4 linked regions of the Caenorhabditis elegans genome follow. The protein of the gene in region 2 interacts with the protein of the main gene of each other region in a pairwise test. Each region holds a gene or a part of one and is shown on either strand. Other genes may lie near its edges. The genes, in order: T10E9.1, skr-20, fbxa-167 and fbxa-88.

Region 1 (4,277 bases), on a different chromosome or scaffold from region 2:
AAATCAATGGAAGCAGGCATATGGGGTTACTGTATTCCAGTTATTTTATTCCTGGCGAGAACGGGGGTACAGTAGTTTGTACAAAAACGCAACAAATCGAGTTTTGCGGTTCCGCTTTAAAATGGACGTAATAATCATCAAGTTCAGGAGGACAAATTGGGAGTTCGTTCATCTTCTACGTGCCCACTTCATTTTGATAATGTACGCGTTCACAAGTCGGCAATTCTTGGAGAATTTGGAAAAGGTTGACTATAGAATTAATAATTCCAATTTAAGTACACAATGTTTAAAGGTTACAAGTACGCAATTGAATATTTGAATGCTGGTCGTATCGGAATTGGAGCTCAAATGCTTGGATTAGCTCAAGGATGTTTTGATCAGACAATTCCATATCTTCAACAAAGAGAACAGTTTGGGCAGAGAATTATTGATTTCCAGGTGAGACATAAAACATGACAGAGAAATATATATATACAATAGACTTCTAGGGAATGCAACATCAAATTGCTCAAGTCAGAACTGAAATCGAAGCTGCTCGTCTGTTGGTTTACAATGCTGCTCGTATGAAGCAACACGGATTACCATTTGTTCGTGAGGCAGCAATGGCGAAGCTCTTTGCATCACCAAAGAATTCCCCGTCGAGAAATACTATCGTGACTGTAAAATTGGAACGATTTACGAAGGAACTTCCAACATTCAATTGAGCACCATCGCGAAGCTAATTGACGCCGAATTTAAACAGAAGGCCTGAAAATGTACCTCTCCTCCTTATTGCGAGGGTTAATTCGATATTCTCATTTGATAAATATGGATTCATGTTGGTGTTCTAAGGGAAAATGTTGTTTGAAAATTTATTCTAATTTGTATCTATTGAACGTCTAGTTATATAAAATTATAAGAGAACGAGAGAAAAAACGAAACGTTACAATTTGATTATTAATAGAATTCTTCGTTTTCCCCATAATCTGTATCTTCATAGTCAGATTCATCGAGATTATCTTCATAACGTTCGTAGTCATAATCGGGATCAAAATTGCTATCCTCATCGTTATCATAATCATCATAATTGTCATCGTACTCCGAAGAATCGTCAGCGAAATGGGGTAGACCGAGTAGAATTTTCTTCTGAAAAATAACGTATTTATTTGGAGACATGAAAACTGAATATTGAACTTACAAAACTAGGCGAGAAATCATAATTTCCGGTTTTTCCAATTTCTAAATTAATCCAATTCTCACTTTTCCATAAAACTACAAGTCTTTGATCATCTGGAAGTTGCTTGTGATATACATTGCTGAAATTAAGATATTCAAAAAATAATTGTCAAATTATGACATACTGGCCAGAGTCCTGCTCAACTTGTGTAAATCCTGCAGGAATATTTTCAAAATCTAGGCCACTTGGGTTCATGATGTCAAGTTTCGATCCAGTTGATCTGGTAGCCACGAACTTCTCGATGACGTCACAAATAAGGTCACCAGTAAACTTCTTGGATTTGAGAGAGATCACTGACGCTTTTAGTGCCATGACGTCTTCATAGGTTGCTGTGGTGATAGTAGAGATCTGAAACACATAATTTCTCTAGTCACAAGTTATATGTTTTCTAAAGTGCAACGCATATATTCATAACTCATCTTACCTCGATTTTGTCCATTTTTTGCACAATTGCCGCATTTTTCCCGAGAAAATCGAAATCATCGTCATCATCACGAGCTTGTCCGTCTATTTTCAAACCATTCAGCAAACTTCCATCACATTTATCAAACATTTTCCAGAGAAGGTCACATTTTCGCGGATTTCTCCAAAAAATGGATTGAACTTTTAGAGAACTTTCCATGTTATCTAATGTCTCCATAAACTTATTATTCAATTCCTCGAAATTATCTGATAATTCTACAGTTAGGAATCCAATAACAACATTATTTTGAAAACACATTCGATTAAGGAATGCGATAGCCTCATCAATTGGTCGAGATCCTTCAATTATAATATCATTTTTCGAAGATTGGGAGATTCTTGTGTCGCATTCGGGAGTCATTTTAAACTTGAGAGAATGTACATCTTTGAATAGTTTAAATGTAAGTTTTACGAGAACTCCTACACTGTGAAGATCCTTGATATAGACCGATGGAATGAAGAGTTTTGTAGATGAAACAGCATGATTCATAGTAGAAGAGGTTGCACGAAGTTTGCATCTAAAGTTTTGATTTTTTTAAAATTATTTAAGGAGAATAATACCTTGAAATTAAATCACATTTCTCGATAAGCTTCTCTAACAATTCTGGGGGCAAGTCTAATATTTCGATAGGTTTTCTCACCATCTGAAATTCAGAAAAAGCAATTATTTCGGATCAGTTTGTTACAGCAAACCTTGGCGGAAATTTTGAAAATATATCACAAATAATCTGAGACCTGAGCTGTACAACAGAAGTTGGAAACAAAAAAAAAAGTTGAAAATAGTTTTAAAAATTGAAAGCATTTATTTTTTGAGTATCGAAAAACTATTTTTGAAACTATTTTAATAAATTAACAACGAATAAATTACTACGTAATCTAACAATCATCTGAATCACTACTGGAATCGTTTGAAATATCAATCTTCTTCCTTTTTGCTGCTGTGCGAACACTGAAAAAAGAAAATTGAAAAATTTAATTTAATTTTTACAAACTCACAGTTCTTTGATATCTTTTAATCTCATATTATTCCAATTATTTCCTGCTATTCGTTCCGTGGTAGTTTCCGATTCCATATCTTCTCCTTCTGATGATGATGACTGATCTTTCCAGTCAACTCCTCGCTTTTCAGCTTCTCTTTTAACCCATTCACGAACTTCAGCTGGCCTCATTTTTGATAAATCTTTCACTTTAAGTTCTGTACTTTTCGATCTTTCTCGTCTCTCATCTTTTGTAGTAGCTTCTAATAACAAATTCCGTTCGAATCTATCGTCTTCAGAGTTTGATTCATCCGACGAAGACGAAGAAGAGCACGATGATTCATTCCACGTGTCTTTCCTATTTCGAAAGTTATCTTGGAGAACTTTGAAGGTTTCAGTGAGAAGTTTTCGAGCATTCATAGCAGATCTTCGACCACTTGGCTGAAAATTTTGATATTTATAATTTTAATTTTAAAAGTATTTTGAATTACCGTATAAATTTCTCCATCAGTGTCTCTTTCACTTTTGCCAGGCGTAGTTACTTCTGAGAATCGAGGAACATTCAGGTAACTTCTTTTAGCTAATAAATCCATTTTTGATTTTAGCCGCTTCCCATCGACAGACAAAATATTGTGTGGTTCATCATCAAGTCCACCATCCGAATAGTTATTTTGTCCCATCAATTCATTCGCGGTTTCAGTATAAGACGCTGGACGAAGTTTTGCAGTTTCTCTGGAAATTCGAAGGGTTTAATTTCACGAAAAATTTTGTAGAATATTCTAAAAAAGAACCTGGTGACGACTCTAAATCCATGAAGAACGATATGAAGTAGAAAATCAATTTTATTAAATGATCGATAGCAGAACCCACAAATGACTGTCTCGTTGATGAAATCTTTTGGAATAAAAAAGTATTGCTGTGGAAGAGTATAATCATTTGGATCTCTGAAAGTTTTTGTTCTGATAAGAACATATTTTGAAAAAAATTACGTTGCATTGAACGTTGATTCTCCCTTAATCGTATACTGAAGAGGTGTGAATGTTCTAATATCGAATGAAGCTCTGATTTCATGTTTCGCCGATAACCATTCATAATTCATGAATTCTTCAGTAAAAAGGTACTTGTGATGTTGATCAATATGTCGAAGAGCATACATTCTCATAATGAGTTGAGTCGTGAAAATGTGAGCATGGGCACGTGGACAGAGACAACAACGCCACTTGAATTCATCTTTTCGTAGGTTCTAAAAATCGAAAAAATTATTTAAATTTGAAATTGAAAAAAAATGTACCTTGAAAACATTAGAATATAGAAACAATTCCTTGGGAAATTCAAAAGTGTATACTTCTTCTTCTTCTGGATTTTCAGCGTTATTCACATTCTCACCGGCTTCGTTCGCAACTTCTTTTGGGTCAGGTTGGACATGTGTGAAGGATGAGCTCGATGCGATACTGAACAAATAATAATTGAAAAAAACGAATGTTATGCAGGCAGGCCTTATCAAAAAATCAGAGTTGTGCTACGAATTCAGTAATTTTGGTGCTCCAGAATATATCAAAATTGTTCAAGTTTTACTACGCAATAGTTTTTTATTTAACTTACGGATCTAGACAACTATGACT
Region 2 (3,361 bases):
ACAATTTTCGTATAACATTGTTGACATTTTTGTTCAATGTTCAATTTTCAGTTTTCATTAAAATTGTTGATGAAATTATCATGTCCTAATGCAATGTCCTAATGCATACATAAAAAATTTTAGATGAAATGGATTAGCATGAAAAAAGCTATACAATAAAAACTATTATTGGAAACAACCGGCACTGGATATATGAATATTATGTATCTTTTAATCACAACTCTCGAAAAAGTTATCCCCCCAAAGTCTGAAGAATTGAGCATAGTGAAACTTTACTTAACTAACAAAATTGAAAAATAATATTCCACAAAAAAGGGCAAATTAAGGCAGATGAAAAAAAAAACTTTAAAAAAAAGCACACTATTAAATTTTCCAGATTTAGTAATCAGAACGCTGCATTCAATTCCGTCATGAAGTTTATAAACGTTTAGTTCTTTTAAAACCTAGTATTTTGCAATAAACACCAGAAATGTACAAGTTCGGCCAAATTGGATGCAAAATCAGAAAAAATCGGAAATAAAAATCCGGTAATTTGGGGGCTCACCTCATATTCTGAAACAACGAGAACTTGATTTACATATGGTTCTTTGATATTTAATTTTAAGCAATTTTTTAATTAGTAGTGACACTTTAGTTGTTTGTTTTGTTTTCCAACTATTCTTTTACATTCTTATAACTTCAATTTTTCATTTATGAGGTTTGTAAAATAATTTATTCACAAATAAACTTGAATCAAAGTGTATAAATATATTCTTTCAAACATCTTCTTCACAATATGTGAAATTAAACATCAATCAGAATCCGTTGTGAATGTCATTGCAGATGTTCCCTCTCCACCATTTGCCAACGCTTCCTCCATTTGTTCTTCATCTGACCTGATTCCATAGATCTTGCGAATTTCTTCCGTGCTTTTTCCTCGAATCAATTCTGCTGCGGCTGCACACCCCATATTCATCAAATCTTCGACTCCAAGCGCATGAGAAGCATTGAGTAGTGCAAAAAGAACTCCCGATTCCACGTTGAAAAACTGCTTGTCCCATTCGGAAAAATCGTGGTAACGAATTTTGGAGTCTCGTCGGGCGAGCGGGTTGTCCTGATAATGGTAAAGCCACTCTATTACAGCTTGAACAATCGATGAGTGGAATGGAACGAGAATTGGATCTGCTCGTTCACAATTTCTGTCGTTCACTCCATGGTCAATAAACTTCTGATTGATAAATGCACAAAATTTCATTGGTCCTCGTTCGACATTAAAAATTTGACCATCCTCTGACTTCAGTTTGTACAAGGGCGCAGATCGTGGTGTGGTCATGATGTGGAACTAAAGGTAATTGATTAAATAGTTTTGCAATTGTTTCAAAAATATTATTGAGTGGATTCAAACCACACAAAAATAAATATATAAATGAGATATCTTTAAAGTAATTTTTATTATTTATTTGGCGAATCATAGACCTGTGGAAAAGAGCTGGAAGAATACACTATGAATTTATTAAAGATGGAATGAAACGATTAAAAACTGGAATTGTAAAATTTTTTGAAGAAAAGTGAATGGCGTTGTGAGTCAAGTTGATCAAAGGCAAATTTTCTATATTACAAATCTACAGCGAAAGTTTTAAAATATAAATTGAACGAAGAAGCAGAGAAAATAAAATTGAATACAAGACGGTTGAACACGGGAAATTAGCATTAAATGTGGTGGTGGCTGAGAAGTATGGTGGTTGTATTTAAGTTTTTTTGTAGGGAATCGAGAAGAGAATTTTTGATTCAAACTTGAAAAATAAAGTTGCATTGTTTACAAAATTAGTATGGTTTTTGCATTTTTTCTGTAAAATATAAAAGACGAAGAATACTTTTGCTAAAATGTTGCCCAAATTATCACAAAAATTTCAAAAATGGGCTCAACTTTGATCTTATGATTACATTTTTCTCACTTCAAATATTTACTGAAATGAAAACAAATAGTCTAAATTTTCCCATACCATACGAAACACCACACATCTGAAATGAAATTCCTAAGCCGCTGCAGCCACCACTGGATATACTGGCTGCTCCTCCTCTTCATCATTCACCAATCCGTCAATAATCTCTCTAGGATTTTGTCCGACGACACGGCAGCACATGGCGAAGAGACCAGGTACAGTAAAATCCCTCGCGGCTCGGATTATATCAAAGAGCATGTTGTGCCTCACCATCAGAAACGACGCATCCCAGTCAGGAATATCATTGGTTTCCGGTTCAGATTCGTCGTAGGGCGGGTCGTGCTTATGATGGTCGCACCACTCGATCACTTTCCTCATCACTGTCGCAGGGATTTCTAGTTGAATTGGCTGCAGTTGATCGGCAGGAATCAGGTCTAATCCAGCATTTCTAAATAGGTCCTCAATCCGTCCTATCATTCCGATTGTTCGCCTATCTGCCAGAAATCTCTGCCCATCTGTTGACCGAAGTTTGTAGAGTATTACAGGTTCTTCAACTTGCATTACACTGAAATACTTGAAAATGTCTGTAGTAGAAAGAATGAAAAGAAGAAAAAAAATTAGCAAATAATAGTAATAGTCAGGATTCAAACTATTTCCTTAAATTTTCTAGATGAAGTTCTATTTGTATGTAGTTTCTTGCAGAAGAAAAAACTAAATTAAATCGTTTGACAATAAAATTCAATGTGTAATAATTTCTTTCGCACTTTTGCTTTAAAAAACGTAGCTGAAAATAAAGTTTTTTTATCCGATTCTTAGAACTATTACAATGTTAAACACAGAAATTTTTGGATCAATAAAGTGTATGTCAAGAATATGATGGGTGACCACTAGTTGGTACAAAAAAAATGAAAAAAAAGTCACTGATAAGTCACGACAATCATTACTTTCTGTTGAACAGTTCAATTACATAGCACATTAGGAAAAACTGATTTGAAAATAGCGTTTCAAGAATGTATTATTTTACTAAAATGTTTGAAAATCAAGATTTCAAGAAAATCGATAAGTTTATGTGCGCTCCTCAAGCACACCTTCAGCACCAACGTCTTCCCCCGAAGGCTGGCAGACGACGCGTTTCTCTTCCACGGCCATTAGAAATATGGAAAGTCACGTGAACTCACACAACACAACTATCAAAAGGAAGAGTGTCATCAGATAAGAACCTAATATTTCATTACAGGAAAGGTCTGGAAAAATTGATTTTTTTTTGTTTTCTTGTTCGGCTCACACGGTATTAGAACGACTAAATTATTCCTGTGAAAATAGCAAAAAAATTCGAATTCTAACTTCAAATTTGAAAGGGAAAATAAAATAACCAGTTTCCTCCTTTTTATGCTAGAAACTGACATATGAAACCTTTTTTCTTTTCATTCTTTCGAGAA
Region 3 (5,284 bases), on a different chromosome or scaffold from region 2:
TTTATTTAAATTTTTTCAGCGACGGAATTGAACGCGTTGATTGTAGTGATGGATACGATATAGAAAGAAATGATGGCCTTCTTGCAACTGTGTTTTATCAAAACATGGGTACCGACTTTTTTGTGTGGCACGATAGATTTCCAACATATTCACACCGGAATTTACCGTCCACATGATAATGCAAACAAATTGAGAATATTTTTAGAGCTTGTTTATTACAGTCGCGGTAAAGCGATTGTTCCGTGAGCAAAGCAATTCTGTAAATTTTGTGTAATTTAAACCTACTTTATTTAACAACCAGCCACTTTTCAGCGAAGAAACCTTGTTTTACGTTAACTTTAACAACTCATACAACTCATTTAACAACAACGTGCGAATAAACGAAATATTAACATAAAAGCTCAACTAACAAGGGGCTCGTCAGAAAGGGCCAATTGGGCTTGCATATGAGACCTAGTCATTCGATAATTTTTAGCGGCGATACTCTAGAAGCAAGCTCACAGCGGACTTTCAAACATCCTAAAAATAGCACTATATCGAGACGAACTTCTCTTTTCTTCAATTTTTCAATTTTTTCAAAAACATTCAAATATGAATAGAATGCTTATAAATAATGTTATTATCACAATTTTGAATCTGAAACACTCTTCTTTTGCAATTACATTTATGGTTTTTTTTTAAATGATTTTTTGATCTAATTTCTGTAGTTGCCCATGTATTTTCATAAAAATTGTGGACACGGGGTTTTTGACATTTGGAATCGAATGGCATTAGCCATTTTTTCAAAAAAATTTCAGAATGTGGTAAAACGGAAAAATTAAGGGGGAAGTTGGGCGCACAGTATTATATTTCATTAATAAAACTTTATTTCTGAAAAGTATCTAAACTCAATTTATGGCAACAAGATATATAAATAAGCGTGGAATTATGACTGCTAGACTCCTTTTATAGCTTCCGTTTAACATAAATTTCCTTGGAACACATAGTTATTTCAAATGAGGAATTTTTAGTCTTGAAGTTGAATGTGTTGTTAGCAGCGTCTGTATATTTTGGGTTGAATACTTTTCCGATTTTTCGAGTATCTGTGTTAAGGACTCTGAACGTTCCTGATCTGAAGTCAGAGGTGCGGAGTTCGAGGGTCTGAAAATCAGAATAAAATTTAATTTAGGGTCAAACATTTTCCAGTATTTCACCTCCTTAACCTTAACCGCATCCTGAACTGAAAACGATTTCAGACGAACATCAATTGATTGAAAGTGCAGCAAATCTTTAATATCCATCTCAATGTCTTCATGACTCGATATATCAAGTGTCTTTGCTGTCTTCCATTGCTCCAGCTCAACGAGCTTCTCAATTCCAGACAACTCTTGTATACTGTACATTGATAGTTGTATCTCTTCAACATTTTTCAGGTTTTTGAGAACACTAGATGTTTCGTGGAAGTTTAGTCCTTCGAATTCAATGTTCAGAACATGGGGTTCGGAATTTTCAAGCACAGTTAATAATTCTTCCATACACTGGGTATCCTCTTTATTATGCTCCAAAAAGTCCAGTCTTAACTTTTCCAGCTTCAACTTCGGGCTCTTCAATACCCTAGACAGATAGTTCAATGCAACAGTCACATGAGAAACTCCTTCAATTTTCCAATCCTTTGAATCCTCGTATTGCGACATTTTAGTAATTACACAATCATCATCCACACGTTTACATATAATATCTGTATAGTCACTTTCATGATAGAAGCATACATGTACGTGGTTTGGAATAGAAGTCACTGAGATGTTGGTGACCTCGTTGACGTGATCCTCGGCGATGCTGCGGAAGCATGGCGAGACGTTGCGGAGGAGAAGTCTGGAATTTTGAATTTTTGGAAGTGTTATTTGAAATATTTAAAGTAGGGCTTTCAAGGCAGGCCCGGCTTCAGGGCCTCACGCCTGTCTGAAAATTTTCTACATTTTATGTGAATCTTCAAACTTCAAATTTTGTCATTTCTATTAATTTGTCCATTTTCCAATTATGAAATGAAGCATAAGGCGCGTTTTGAGGCGAGAGGCAGGCGTGGGTCACCTTAAGGTCAGGCCGGCAGGAGTTTTAACGCCTGCCTGCCTGACCTTATGGAAGACCTAATTTAAATTTTCAGATACTAGTATTGAAATTACTTTATAAGTTTCATAGTAAAACTTTTTATTTTTTTGTTAATTTTAAAGTTTTCATATATGCCGGAATTAAAAATTTCCGGCAAATCGACAAATTGTCGGAATTGAGAATTTCCGGCAAATCGGCAAGTTGGCGGAATTCAGAATTTCCGGCAAATCGGCAAGTTGCTGGAATTGAAAATTTCTGGCAAATCGGCAAGTTGCCGAAAATGAAAATTTCTGGCAAATCGGCAAGTTGCCGAAAATGAAAATTTCTGGCAAATCGGCAAGTTGCCGGAATTGAAAATTTCCGGCAAATCGGCAAGTTGGCGGAATTAAAAATTTCCGGCAAATCGACAAATTGCCGGAATTGAGAATTTCCGGCAAATCGGCAAGTTGCCGGAATTGAAAATTTCTGAAAAATCGGCAAGATGCCGGAATTGAAAATTTCTGGTAACAAATCGGCATACCGGAAATTTGCCGATTTGCCAAATTTGTCGACAAAAAAAAATTGCCGAACGGTAATTGCCGCCCACTTCTGATCATGCATATATTTTTTGCTTAATTTTAAGAATATTTTTTTAAAAATCCCCACGTCCAAAAAACATACATTTTCAAAGAAAAACATTTTTTAAAACTAACCTGTCCAGAAAATTCAAGTTTTCCACAATTTTGAACAATATTTCAATTGGCAACTCGGATAGCGATGCTGTTTTTGGTTCCCGGCTGAATTTCTTTCTAATAAATTACATTTTAGAACTTATCTTTACACTTACCTCATATCATAATCCAAATCCTCGTTTCCATGATAAAATCGATAAAACCAGCGCTCAAATTCTCGATATTCCATAAAATCATTTCCAAACGCATTGCAAAAATTCTTGAAAGACTCGAAAATTGGCCGCTTTTGGCGGACCTCGTAGAGAATGCAAGCTCGAATAGCAATTGGGTTGGTTTCCAGGATGGCAGGCATTTTACTGGACCTTTTTAACTTTAAAAACTCTAGAATTGGACGGAAAATCAATGAAAATGCGGGAAAATGGAAAGAGGGGAAGCAGTGGAGATGGAAAAGAGAAATAGACAAGAGAGATGAAAAATATGAGAGGGGAGAGACAGCAGCACAGAACAAGTGAGAAATTGGAAGTAGAATGATAAGAGTCGCATCGACCGGTAGAATACCGTATTCTTTTCATTAAATTGGGGACAAACTTTAAAAAAATTAAATGTTTGGTCGTTTTGCACCATAAGAGCAACAAAATGCTACCACCATTAAAAAAATTTTATAGTAGTTATGTTCATCTAGCAAAAAAGTGTCCTACCTAAAAAAAATAGCAGATTTTTTGTTCTTTTAGAAAAATGTATGGCCGTCTCTGTAGCTACGATATTCATTTCAAAAAACCCAAAAAAGTATTTTTTTCAAAATGCTACCATTTTTAATATTTTTGGAAATTCTTGCACATTGGTTATTATCATGTAGCAAAAAAGTGTCTTACCTAAAAAAATAGCAGATTTTTTCATCTTTTAGACAAATGTATGACCGTCTCTGTTTCTACGATATACATTTCAAAAGCCCCAAAAAAGTATTTTTTTTCAAAATGCTACCATTTTAAATATTTTTGGAAATTCTTGCACATTGGTTATAATCATATTGAGCAAAAAAGTGCCCTACCTAGAAAAATAGCATTATAGCAACAAAAAAAAGCTGAATTTCGTTATATAATTAAAAAAGAGCTCAAAATTTGAAACAAGTTTCTGTAAAAACATTCTGAAAAATGTTAATTTTGAGTGAAATATGAAGGCCCGGATTTAGTGAAATGTTTCAAAAATAATAATTTATCTGTACTGAAAACCAAAAATGAAAATTGTGTCCTTTTGGTAGAATTGAACTCATCTCATCAAAAATCACAACAGTAATAAGTCCCATACTAATTTTAAAGTTTGACATTCATTTTTGTGAAAATCTTGAAATTTTTAACTATGAGCTATTGAAATATTCCTTTTATTCCCGACAAAACCCTCCGTTTTGTTCCAATATTTGCCCATTATTTATTCATACACCCGTTTTGCACCCATTTTTGTGTATTCCGCTCGCGTCTTTTGTTTTTCTCTCTATCTCTCTCTCTCTCTCTAAATGTGTCACATTTTTGTGTGTTGCCCATCTTCTCCTTCTACGTTCGTTTTTTGTCTCTTGCCGCTCGCTGACCATAAACGCATTTTCTCTCTTCTTTTCGGTGTGTTTTCGGTGTAACTATGCTGAAAATATAATTTATTTTTGAAGTTTTAGCTTCTTAGGACTCAATATCTTTAAATTGGTTTAGAATGTTTTGTGATGACGTTGTCACAACCGAAAAATTTAATTAACAAGAATTATTGTTGTTGGAATTATTTTAACTTTCTAAAAATTCAGTTTTAATTGTTTTTGCCCATAAAACGCTGTTGAAAATTTTTTGCCAAATTAGAAAATTGCCAAAAATTGAAATTCTCCTCTAATTGCCCAACTCCCAAAATAAAACTTATCCCAAATTGGCAACTTGTCAAAATTTATACCTCATGCCAAATTGGCAGATGGCCAAAAATTAAAATTCTCGCCAAATTGGCGAATTGCCAAAAATTCAAATTCTTGCCTAATTGGCAAAGTGCAAAAAAAAGGAAATTCTTATCAACTTGGCACAATGCCAAAAATGGAAAGTCCGTCAATTTGGTAATATGGCAAAAATTCTAGATTCCACCAAATTGGCAGATTGCCAAAAAATGAAAATCCTAGCCAAATTGGCAATTTCAAATAATGAATAATTGCCAATTTGCCAGAAAAAAGAAATTCTTGCCAAAAATTACATTTCCGCCAATCCGGCAAAATGGCGAAAATTAAAATTCTTGACAAATTTGCAGATTGCAAAAAAAAGCTTACCTAATTGCCAAATTGGCACTATGCCAAAAAGGAAATTATTGCCAATTTGCCAAAAACTACATTTTTTGCCAATTTGGTAATATGATCAAAATATAAAACTCTTGCCAAATTGGCAAATTTTTTGGCAATTTGCCAATTTGGCGAGAATTTAAATTTTTTTTGCAATTTGCCAATTTGGCGAGAATTTCCTTTTTTGGCAAATTGGCAAGAATTTCCTTTTTTTTGGCAATTTGCCAATTTG
Region 4 (3,967 bases), on a different chromosome or scaffold from region 2:
AAGGAGCTTGATCTTTATTTTCAATGGAGTAAGAGATGGTACAAGTGAAAACTCCTGGATTGTTCTGGTTTTTTTTCCAAATAAAATTTGGATAGCATTTACTTTAAAAACAACCAAAATAACGAAGAACTTGAATGTTATGGTTTTGTGCTGCTCCAGTGCAGAGTCTGAGGATATTCAGCACGTAAAAAGTTTTTTTGAAATTGGCAATTCTTATGAGACTGTCTAGAAAAAAAAGAAACACAAATGTCCAGGTTCACTTGTTTTGTTATATCATTGTGGACTGCAAACAAAATTCTTCCTGTTTGTTCTAAGACCGCCATCCATGTAGGTTTAACTAGCAATATCTAGAAATTTTAATGCTAATAACTGATAGTAAAGTGATCTTTCTGATTCGACATGAGTTGCATGAAAACTTAGTAATGATTTCTGTTGGGTAATGCGTACTTAAATGTGTAACTCGTGTAAGGCTTCCGTGGTGGCAGAAGAATTTTCCTGCTTGAAACCAGCTTAAAGCTTCCCTAACGCCCGCCTGACGCCTGCCTGACCCCAAAAATACGACAATTAAACTTCGAAATTTGATAACATTTTTCTTATAAACATTAAAAAATAAATTTTTGAAACTGAAAAAAATTGGAAACTACATATATAATTAAATTTTTATTGTAGCAGTTTTAAATTATCAAAAATTATTCTTTTTTATATTCAAGGAACCATAAGAAATATCAATGATGAACATTTCATTATTAACTTCATACTCCAGTGAGGGCTCTCCCGCGTAGTCCGGCTTGAAAACTTTTGCGATTTCTGTCCTGTTCAGTTTCTGACATCGAAATCGTCCAGATTTGAAGTTTCCACTTTTTTTAAGACCCTGAAAATAATAGAACACTAACTATACATGTTTAGATTCTAAACTTGCATTTCTCATCTTCAAACAATCTTCCACTGTGAAAGTGCTCAGATGAATATCGAAATGCTCAAAGTGTAGTAGACTCTCCACAGGAATTGAAAACGCATCGCAATATGAGACACCTTTAAATCGTTTTGCCATTTTCCATTGTTCCAGATAAATAAGCTCATCTAATTTGTAACGAGCTTGTGTGCTAAATATTTCAATAAGCTCTAGCTCTCCAAAACATGGCAAAACCATGGCAACTTCACTAGGATGAAGTTCAAAGATTACACATTTTGCTTTCACTGGTTTCAAAGTTTCAAGAGTGCTCAGCAGGTTAGTGAAGCACTTGGTTCGAAAGTCTTTTTTTGTTACGTTGACGTTCAAGTTGATCTGTACCAATTCCAACTTAGTCTTTTGTTTTAGAATTTCAAAGAAATCCTTGAGAGCCAGTGTCTCAAAGTTTTCGTTCAGAACAGTGCATTTCCTGCTTCCCAACTTCACCATACAATCATCATAGTCTCTTCTGTATTCAATTAACTTTTCGTCAAGTCGAAGAGTGGAATATCGCTCGAAGGAGTCATAAATACCAATAGCAATTTCTTTAAAGCCGTGATTTCGATTATCAATAGCTGTTCGGAAGATTTGAGAGACTTTTCGAAGAGGTAATCTGAAACGTTTCCGACATTTTTTTCAGAGTTTGCTAGTTAATCTCACCTTTCAATGGGCTCCAATTTATCTAAAACTTCGTTGAAAATATCTGACGGCAAATCATAGATTGTTAATGTTTTTGTGGTTCCACTGAAACAAAATATTATCGAAAGTTTACAGAAATTGGAAAAGCACACAATATTGTAGGTATCATCCAGTTTAGCTTGTTTAGTTGGCTAGTTGTTAATCTGGAACAAAAATGAAACACTGAGTGGATAAGAATATTAACCCGAAATGAAAGTCTAGTCAAAATTTGAAAAGTGACGATTCTTTCTAGTGCGATAACAATTCAATGGGAGTTTGCTGAAGAATACTGATAAGAAATGACGTGTTCGTATATCAAGAACTTACAAATACTTGTTGACTTTTTAAATTTCTGAACGAATTTATTCAGTTTTAAGTTCCGAAAGTTTATTACGCAGCCAACAGAAATAGAGGTCCGCGAAAACTACTTGCAGTGCCGTAGAAGCCTACCACATAGGTTGATTAAAATAAAATCTACTTTCGTGCGAAAATTTGCTATATTTACATGCTTTATCATCATTCTCCCCTTGCAATCAAAACTATCGTTTGTGTTATCACACCATTGTATGTGAATCATAATTTTTCCAGAAAGAAACTAACTGCTTTAAACATTCAGACTTGAACGAAAATGGCCGAATTGGAGCCGGAGGGAGCTAGCATAAACAAGTAAGGAATTATTATTTTTTTAACTTCACCACTTGAGTTTTCAGAATAAAACAGTCATTGTTTGTTAATCTTCCGGCAGATGTTATCAATGAAATTTTGAAAAAGTTGACGCCAATCGATAAGTGAGAATTTTATTAAATTTTAAATTTTTATTAGACTCAAACTTGTCTGAAAACACCAAATTTCATGATGACCCTTTTTGAAATCTTTTCAAAAACAAAGTTATGGCCGCTCAAAAATTGACCTCAAGTTAGTGAAAGTTTGAAATTTGACCGACTTGTCAGCGGCTGGATACTAATTTTTTTTGAAATTACCGACTAATTTTAGGTCTAATAGTATCAGGCGTTTTCAAGTTGGTTTAGGTATTTTAAAGTCGATGGACGAAGAGAATTTAAACAATTTTTTACAAACTTAAAAATTAGTTTCCAGCCGCTGCGATGTCGACAAGCCGGTCAAATTTCAAATTTTCACTAATTTCAGGTCATGTTTTAACATGAAACGTTGCTAGGCAGCTTGTTCTAGCTTCAAAAGCATACAATTTTAATTATTTCAGACTGACTCTCCGAAAAGTTTGTACATTCTTCCGTGACACCATAGATAGCAAAGCTTATGGCTTCAAAATCATCGAGTTTCATCTTCTTTTTGATTGGGTCATGTTAGTTCTAGACAAGGAAATATTCAAATATGCCAGCAGAGAACAACATGGATGCTGGGTTAGCAACGGACTAAATGAGCATCATTTCCAAGAGGAATACTTTTTGAAACTTGCCATTGACGACTTGGCAGTAATACTGAAAGATCAAAGTCAGAAGCTGGATTTGTTAGAAGTCTGCGTATGCGATCGTGCTACAAAACGTTCTCGGGATTACTTTTTCCCTGCACTTCTTAAGATGCTGGTTACAGTTGATTACCGTAAAATCGAAAAGTTCGACGGTGATTTTCCAGAGATTTGGGATATTTGGAAGAAATATCAAGACACTGTTTTGTCATCAAATAAATAAGTTAAAACGTTCATTCTAAATTTTGTTCAAAACATAACAAAACATTCTCGAATCGTTCCGTAAATTCTTGCTTGGTTCAGCGACATGGGCAGCACCCCTTTGAACTTTTGAGCATCTTAGACTTTTTCAGCCGTTTTATTAATTAATTAAAAAAACAACAATAAGATTAAAATTTGATGGCAAGTTTTGGATGATTAGCAAGTGTATCTGTAGACTGAAATAATAATCAAAACGCCAACGCTCTAATATTTCAATTAGCGAGTAATCAAATACTAGGAAGTTTAAAGTGTTTAGCTGGATCTGTAAAAAGAACAATCGTTGTCAATGGAGTTTCAGAATTTTGTCGGCTGCACTGTGTACGTTTTCTTCTTCATCAATTTCGTCATTACAAATGCTTCCAACAATCTACCAATTGGACGGATTGCACCCATTCTTGGACCGCTATTCTGAAACAAGAAGTTGCTTACAAGTCTTCTATTTTCTAGAATTACTGTAACATCAAATAGACCAAAATGGAAGATTAGAGATGGTATCAAATCAAAAGACAGTGTTGAAAGACCATCCGTCAAAGCCATTAAGTTAACTCTACGAAGGTCCATTGTTTCTGTTCTTTTTTTAATAGATAACCAACACAATTTGGAGCAAAGGGTCGCAGAGAAACATACGATGATTG

The links.
Region 1: the proteins of skr-20 (region 2) and T10E9.1 interact in a two-hybrid assay, tested with the Caenorhabditis elegans proteins (one large-scale study listed by BioGRID).
Region 3: the proteins of skr-20 (region 2) and fbxa-167 interact in a two-hybrid assay, tested with the Caenorhabditis elegans proteins (one large-scale study listed by BioGRID).
Region 4: the proteins of skr-20 (region 2) and fbxa-88 interact in a two-hybrid assay, tested with the Caenorhabditis elegans proteins (one large-scale study listed by BioGRID).

Annotation. Positions count from the first base shown.
Region 1 is NC_003279.8:6,543,155-6,547,431, reverse strand, and holds T10E9.1 (F-box domain-containing protein), read right to left. Parts: upstream 2,323-4,277; coding exon 2,240-2,322; intron 2,197-2,239; coding exon 1,641-2,196; intron 1,565-1,640; coding exon 1,341-1,564; intron 1,296-1,340; coding exon 1,178-1,295; intron 1,126-1,177; coding exon 937-1,125; 3' UTR 839-936; downstream 1-838. Other genes in the region: acdh-4 (Short/branched chain specific acyl-CoA dehydrogenase, mitochondrial), read left to right, coding at 148-244, 293-438, 489-704; T10E9.2 (C2H2-type domain-containing protein), read right to left, coding at 2,555-2,627, 2,675-3,096, 3,147-3,387, 3,447-3,599, 3,645-3,898, 3,947-4,106, 4,258-4,277.
Region 2 is NC_003284.9:13,222,226-13,225,586, forward strand, and holds skr-20 (Skp1-related protein), read right to left. Parts: upstream 1,313-3,361; coding exon 791-1,312; downstream 1-790. Other genes in the region: skr-19 (Skp1-related protein), read right to left, coding at 2,016-2,483.
Region 3 is NC_003280.10:13,639,386-13,644,669, reverse strand, and holds fbxa-167 (F-box domain-containing protein), read right to left. Parts: upstream 3,182-5,284; 5' UTR 3,109-3,181; coding exon 2,912-3,108; intron 2,862-2,911; coding exon 2,778-2,861; intron 1,852-2,777; coding exon 1,194-1,851; intron 1,141-1,193; coding exon 946-1,140; 3' UTR 847-945; downstream 1-846.
Region 4 is NC_003283.11:16,141,360-16,145,326, forward strand, and holds fbxa-88 (F-box domain-containing protein), read right to left. Parts: upstream 1,758-3,967; coding exon 1,741-1,757; exon of another isoform or gene 1,694-1,740; coding exon 1,610-1,693; exon of another isoform or gene 1,563-1,609; coding exon 920-1,562; intron 872-919; coding exon 683-871; 3' UTR 649-682; downstream 1-648. Other genes in the region: fbxa-18 (F-box domain-containing protein), read left to right, coding at 2,256-2,293, 2,338-2,415, 2,847-3,294.